Linked DNA regions of Callithrix jacchus. The main gene of each other region encodes a partner of the protein of the gene in region 2 in a complex. Links are inferred from orthologs where the notes say so. Each region holds a gene or a part of one and is shown on either strand. Other genes may lie near its edges.

Evidence for each region.
Region 1: MEFV (region 2) and AIM2 share a complex: the UniProt entries of both Homo sapiens proteins name them as parts of the AIM2 PANoptosome complex. The link is inferred for Callithrix jacchus from reciprocal best matches to the Homo sapiens genes MEFV and AIM2.

What each region holds. Positions count from the first base shown.
Region 1 is NC_133519.1:19,055,697-19,059,514, reverse strand, and holds part of AIM2 (interferon-inducible protein AIM2), read left to right. Parts: intron 1-1,746; 5' UTR 1,747-1,766; coding exon 1,767-2,028; intron 2,029-3,818. UniProt on the Homo sapiens protein: Sensor component of the AIM2 inflammasome, which mediates inflammasome activation in response to the presence of double-stranded DNA (dsDNA) in the cytosol, leading to subsequent pyroptosis.
Region 2 is NC_133513.1:5,396,851-5,400,668, forward strand, and holds part of MEFV (pyrin), read right to left. Parts: intron 3,767-3,818; coding exon 3,671-3,766; intron 1,836-3,670; coding exon 1,605-1,835; intron 1,164-1,604; coding exon 1,141-1,163; intron 1-1,140. UniProt on the Homo sapiens protein: Involved in the regulation of innate immunity and the inflammatory response in response to IFNG/IFN-gamma.

The DNA.
Region 1 (3,818 bases), on a different chromosome or scaffold from region 2:
TTTGTGTATGATGTAAGATAAAGTCTCAGTGTATCATTCCCCATATATTGTCATTTGCCTGAATGCTTTTTATAGTTGTCTATTCTTTCCTTGTGATTTTTAATGACACTTTGATTATATACCATGTTTTAATTTACATGTAGTTCTATTTCCACACTCAATTTGTTGACTTTTCTCTGTGCCACTACCATACTGATTTAATTATCATACATTTGTAGTAAGTATTAATATCTAGTAGTAGGGATAGTATATCCTAAAGAAATATTTAACTTATTTTGCATGTTTTTGTCTTTATTTTTTTCATTTAGGTTTTGTGAGCATCCCGATAATGTCTATAAAAATCCCTTTGAGATTCTGCATGGGAGTTTACAGATTAATTTGACAATATTGCTGTCTTCATTCTATCAATTCTTCCCATTGAAAATAGCACACATACACCCACTTGACTGGGTCTTTTAAATCTCTCGATAAAGTTTTATAAGGTTCCCTTTAAAACTCTTAAATATATTGTATTAGATGTTCTATGTGCTTTGTAGTTTTGTTGCTATTGGAAATTACTATTTTATGTAATATTTTTCTCTCTTGGAGTGGTGCTAGAATAAAGGAATGTATTTCTGCATATTAATCTTCTAGTTAGAAACATTGTTGAATCGTTGTTTATAATATTTTATTATTTTGGTTACTATACATAAACAATCATATTACTACAAGGTTATTCTGGACAAGATATAAAAATAGATCAATGGACAGAAGAAAGAATCCAGAAATAGACCCACTCATATTTGGACAACTGGTTTTTACAAAGATACAAAAAAAAAAGTCTTTAAAGAAAGAACAGTCTCTTTAACATACGCTTCTGGGAAAATTTATATTCATATGAAAAATAAATGAACTTTGAATCATCCCTCACTACATACACAAAATAACTCAAAACAGTGCACACACCCAAATGTAAAATATCAAGCCATAAAATTTTTAGAGGAGAACGTAAAATCTTCTAATCTTGACATGGAAAAGATTTCTTAAATATGACACTGAAAGCACAATCCATGAAAGAAAAAATTGGTTAATTTTACTTCATCAGGTAAATGTATATGCCGAAATTTATCAAAGTGTATACTTCCAATATATGCACTGTGTTGTATGTCAGTTATGCCTCGATAAATCTGTTTTTAAAACAACAGGAAAATGTATTGTTTTCTTTTTTGTGGTTGTTTTTGGTTTTTTTGAGACGGAGTTTCACTCTTGTTGCCCAGGCCGGAGTGCAATGGTGCAATCTTGGCTCACAACAACCTCTGCCTCTTGGGTTCAAGTGATTCTCCTGCCTCAGCCTTCAGAGTAGTTGGGATTACAGGCATCCACCACCACGACTGGCTAATTTTTATATTTTTAGTAGAGATGGGATTTTGCCATATTGGCCAGGCTGGTCTCAAACTCCTGACCTCACGTGATCCGCCCACTTCAGCCTCTCAAAGTTCTGGGATTACAGGCATAAGCTACTGTGCCCAGCTGATATCTCCTGTTTTCTAAGAATTCCAGAGGTGTTGTATACTTTCTGAAAATGTCTTTCCGGGGAATAGTGACTACCTTGCTTAAGAAGTTCTTACCTATGTTCCACTCAAACCTCTTACTACTGTAAACATTTGTTTATTTTTCTTTAAAATATAGTAACAGCTCACCTTGCTTCATTCTGAACATAGAATCACTTTTGGTGGTGTAATCTTCTATGATTTGGACTCCTTACAGGCGGATCCTGAAGTTCTTAGATGGAGAGTAAATATAAGGAGATACTCCTGCTAACGGGCCTGGAGAACATCACTGATGAAGAACTGGAGAGGTTTAAGTTCTTTCTTCCAGATGAGTTTAATATTGCCACAGGCAAACTACATACTGCAAATAGACCACAACTAGCTAACTTGATGATTCAAAATGCTGGTGTGGTGTCTGCAGTAATGAAGACCATTCATATTTTTCAGAAGTTGAATTACATGCTTTTGGCAAAACGTCTTCAGGAAGAGAAGGAGAAAGGTAAAGTGGGATCCTGCCCTGCCCAGTCCCTTTCTTCGCCAAGCCTGGGCCTTTCCTTTTACGGCGTCCCTGGGATATGGCCCCCAGTGCACGTTTGTTGGAATTTGTTTGCTAACTTAGTGCACTTGTCTCTTTGCCTCCTTTTACTGAGAATCACCTCTAGGAAGTGTTTGGTACAAATTCCACAAATCCATTCCATCTTCTGTTGGCATCTCTTGTTCCAACGCTTAGAGTTACCACTTCCATTTATCGTCTTTTCTCTTTGCCTATCTGTCTCCAGTTCAATTGCAGTGAACTTGGATGTAGGATTTCTTTTTCTTTTTTTTTTTTTTGAGACAGAGTTTCGCTCTTGTTACCCAGACTGGAGTGCAATGGCACGATCTCGGCTCACCGCAACCTCTGCCTTCTGGGTTCAGGCAATTCTCCTGCCTCAGCCTCCCGAGTAGCTGGGACTACAGGCACACACCACCATGCCCAGCTAATTTTTGTGTTTTTAGTAGAGACGGGGTTTCACCTTGTTGACCAGGATGGTCTCAATCTCTTGACCTCATGATCCACCCGCCTCGGCCTCCCAAAGTGCTGGGATTATAGGCGTGAGCCACCGCACCTGGCCTTGGATGTAGGATTTCAAAGTTAACATCCCCCAACTCCATTTACACAGTATATAATGCGCTCACATTTTACTGAAGTCATGAAAATATAAATAAATTATTGCAGTGGAAAAGCGTAAACCGGGATATTGAGCACCTTTTCTCCTTCACACAGTCTGTCTATTCCTCTCCTGTCCCCAGCTTTCTGAGGACCCAGAGTATCCTTCTTCAGGGAATAATCTCCTCCTTCTATTAGGGGATTCTCTCTCCTATCTCCAGTACAGGTGGCACTATAAATTACCCACAACACAAAGGTTTTTTACATTATTCAATAAATCACTCATCATCTCCATCTACATTTAGTTTAAATCTCGTTTAAATTTCTGATTTTGTTTGCTAAGAAAATTGATATGTCCCGGCTTTATGTCTGAAGAATAAAAGAGAGGTAACAAAGGAGCATATCATCCAAGGACTCTCCCAAATGAGAGTCTCCAAATGCCACAGTTTTAGGATTCAAAGTACAGCTGTAGGCCGGGAGCAGTGGCTCACGCCTATAATCCCAGTACTTTGGGAGGCCAAGGCGGGTGGATCACGAGGTCAAGAGGTGGAGACCATCCTGGCCAACATGGTGAAACCCCGTCTCTACTAAAAATACAAAAATTAGCTGGGCATGGTGGTAGGTGCCTGTAGTCCCAGCTACTCGGGAGGCTGAGGCAGGAGAATTGCCTGAACCCAGGAGGTGGAGGTTGTGGTGAGCCGAGATCGCACCATTGCACTCCAGCCTGGGTAACAAGAGCGAAACTCAGTCTCAAAAAAAAAAAAGTACAACTATAACAGCAAAAATTACAACAGCTTTTAACAGCATTTGTGAGTGTATAACACGGATGACATCACTTCTCAAACATGACTTATAGGAAGGCTAAATGAAGCCATGAAAGTGATACTATGTACGCTCATAATTCTATACAGATATAAACTGTTTGCTAGTATCTAAGGCACTGAAGAGAAAGGACTGCTTGTTATACATTGTATTTTCCCAGGCTATGTGAAGTTAGAAGGTGTAGTTCTTAGACATGGCCCCTAGATGGCAGTAACTACACGTTGTTTTGAAGTAACCAACTGCTCTTTTTCTTGTCTGGGATGAGACAGGAATCTAAGCATATTTATTGGCAAACATAGGCGGAGAATTTTAGAAATATC
Region 2 (3,818 bases):
GCAACAACAGGAGAAAATAGGCCAGGTGCAGGGGCTCACGCCTGTAATCCTAGCACTTCGGGAGGCGAAGGCAGCTGGATCATTCGAGCCCAGGCGTTCAAAACCAGCCTAGGCAACATAGGGAAACCCTATCTCCATTAAAAATACAAAAAATTAGCCAGGAGTGGTAGCACTTGCCTGTAGTCCCAGCTGTTCAGGAGGCTAAGGTGGGAGAATCACCTAAGCCCAGGAAGTTGAGTTTGCAGTGAGCTGTGTCTGTGCTCCTGCTCTCCAGCTTGGGTAATGGGAGTGAGACCTTGTCTCAGGGGAAAAAAAAAAAAATGGCCGGGCGAGGTGGCTTAGGCCTGTAATCCCAGCACTTCAGGAGGCCAAGGCAGGTGGATCACTCGAGATCAGGAGTTCAAGACCAAAATGGAGAAACCCCGACTCTACTAAAAATACAAAAAATTTGCTGGTCATGGTGGTGGGCACCTATAAGCCCAGCTACTCGGGAGGGTGAGGCAGGAGAATCGCTTGAACTCGAGAGGCGGAGGTTGTAGTGAGCCGAGATGGAGCCACTGCACACCAGCCTGGGCGACAGTGCGAGACTCTTGCCTCAAAAAAAAAAAAGAAAGAAAGAAATTCTGACACATGGATGAAGCCTGAAGACATCATGCTAAGTGAAGAAGCCAGACACAAAAGGACATTGGGATTTTGTAAAGCTCCCAGTGATTTTAAGGCCTAGCCTCTTCTTGTCCCTTTCCTCCCCTTCCTGCTGGGTTTACCCCAGCTCCACTCCAAACAAGCTCTCCAAGGCCACCAGCAGGCCTGCGGGGCAGTTTTCAGAAGGTGAGTTGCTTAGAACACAGTCCACTCAGATGGTTTCTTAGGGAGCCTCCATCCCATTTCAACAGGATAGGCTGAATTCACCCTTCCCAGTCTGCAGCCTCACACCTGGTCAGCCTGCCTGCTGACCAGATCCCCTTCTCCCTGTGCAGATCCAGAGAGGCTTTGGGAAGCTGCAGAAAAAGAGAGGAGTCTGGAGTCGCAGACTCCTCGCCGTAAGTTGGGAACGTCTCCCTCCCAGGTCCGTCCTAGGACTGTCTCTACCAAATGTTTCCTGCAAGACACCCCAGGGGACACCACGGGACCGCTCTGTACCTGTGCAAGATGTCTCCAAAGTCCTAGAAGACAGAAGAAGGAAACTGTTCGTTACCAGGCTCCTAGAGGCTGTGCGGATTCCTGGCCTCTACTCCTGGGCTCCTGGACGTTTAGCTGCCCCCTGCACTTATACCGGAGCTCCCTGCCCTGGGGTGTCAGTGAGTGGAGCCCGTCTCTTCAATTCTAATTCAGGCATCCCAGGTAGCAAGGCCTGCAAGGGAATGGCCCTCAAACCCTGCTAATCCCTTCTGGGCAATGGCAGGGATCCCCTGGATGCTGGGCCACCCTGGACTCCTGTGACACCTCATCAAAGGGGACTGGGCACAAGAGGCATTGTGGGTCACCAAGATCAGGCCTTAGGGGACTCATCCACTGGCTCCGGTAGAACTGATGGCAGAACTGGGAGCCTTAGGCATCCTGATGGGCACAGGGAGCCCGAGAAAGCTGGGCCCAGGCGCACCCACCTGCAGAAGCTCCCATTCCGACTGGCACTGCTTGGCCTCCAGCTCCCCAATTAGCGTATCAAGCAGGGCAATGTCTCGGGATACACGGGTGTCGTATGCCTTCTTGAACTGCCCAACCATCTGGCCCAGGTCCTCCAGTGAGGCCACAAAAACATGCTCCTGCTGCTCCAGAAAGTGGTACAGCTGCTCCAGCTTCCTCTGTACCCGCTGCTTCAGCATTTCAGTTTGTTTCTGGGGAGTGGAGGATGGGGAGGTGCAGGGGTCTGTGGGTGGACATGTATGTCCAGGAACCCCTAGAAGCCCACCTCCTGAAGGTGGCTAAGAGGTGGGCTTCTTCTGCCTCTTGGAGGCCTAGATTCCAGAACAGGAGGCAATATTGGCTGCAACCTTCCAGAACAGACTGAGCATGGCTTGGGCTAGCTCTGGGAAAATGGCCTTAAATCTGGTGTGATGGCTTATCTGTGTCCCCTCCGAAATTTATATGTTGGAGCCCTAGCCCCCAGTCCTCAGAATGTGATCTTCTTTGAAGATAGAGTTCTTGCAGATGTTAGTTAAGATGTGGTCCCACTGGAGTTGAGTGGGTCCCTAATCCTATATAAACATCGTCTTATAAAATGGGGAAATCTCGGCTGGGTCCAGTGCCTCATGTCTGTAATCCCAGCAGTTTGGGAGGCCAAGGCAAGCAGATTACTTGAAGTCAGCAGTTCGAGACCAGCCTGGCCAACATGGGGAACTCCGTCTCTACTAAAAAGATAAAATACAGCTGGGCATGGTGGCACATGCCTGTAGTCCCAGCAACTCAGGAGACTAAGGCAGGAGAATCACTTGGACTGGGGAGGCGAAGGTTTGCCGTGAGCCGAGATCCTACCGCTGCACTCCAGCCTGGATGACAGAGTGAGACTCCATCTCAAACAAACAAATGAACAGAAAACAAAACAAACAAACAAACAAACAAACAAAACAGCTGGACCCAGTGGTTCACACCTGTAATCCTAGCACTTTGGGAGCCGAGGCAGGTAGATGACCTGAGGTCAGGAGTTTGAGACCAGCCTGGCCAACGGTGAAACGCTGTCTCTACTGAAAATACAAAAATGAGCCAGGTTCAGTGGCAGGCACCTATAATCTCAGCTGCTTAGGAGGCTGAGGCAGGAGAATTGTTTGAACCTGAAAGGTGGAGGTTGCAGCAAGCCTAGATTCTATCTCTGTACTCCAGCCTGAGCGACAGAGCAAGACTTTGTCTTGGAAAAACACACACACACACACACACACACACACAACACACACACACACAACACACACACACACACACCACACACACACAACACACACACACACCACACACAACACACACACACAACACACACACAACACACACACACAACACACACACACAACACACACACACACACACAGAGACACACACACACACACACAGAGACACTCAAAAGAATTTACAGTTAAAAGTGTTATTGGCTGGACATGGTGGCTCATGCCTATTATCCCAGCACTCTGCAAGGCCAAGGAGGGCAGATTATCTGAGGTCAGGAGTTTGAGAGCAGCCTGGCCAACATGGCAAAACCCTGTCTCTACTAAAAATACAAAAATTAACCAGGCATGGTGGTATGCGCCTGTAATCCAGCCACTCAAGAGGCTAAGGCAGGAGATTTGCTTAGACCCGGGAGGCAGAGGTGGCAGTGAGCCGAGATCGTGCCACTGCATCCAGCCTGGCGAAAGAGCGAGGCACCATCTCAAGGACAAAAGTGTTCTCCTCCCCTTCCCTCAATCCCGCCTCTCCGTGATAGTCACCCTTGTAGGCTGCCTTATACCATCTTGTGGTGAGTACGAGAAAGCGTGTCAGGATCCTCAGAGTTGACCCCTGCCTGCTGGGGGTGGTCTCCCTCTACAGGGATGAGCTCACCCGTGGCTGCTGGTTACCCCTCTGCCCCCTGAGAGCAGGTGGCCATCCCTGCTGCCCTGTGAACCACAGCAGAACCTCGGGGACTCCTGCTCACTCCTCCCACCCTCCTCGCAGGGAAGGATGGGCCACTGGCCCCCTCTGGCCTTACCAGAAAGCTCGCTGCCTTCTCATTCCCGTAGGATCGCTCCTCCTCCCCAGACGTTCTCAGCTTCTTCAGATACTTCAGCTGCTCCTGAATTTGCTCCTGGAAAAACAGCACTTTTGAAAAGCTTGAATTTGGCTCCTGCCATCTTTAG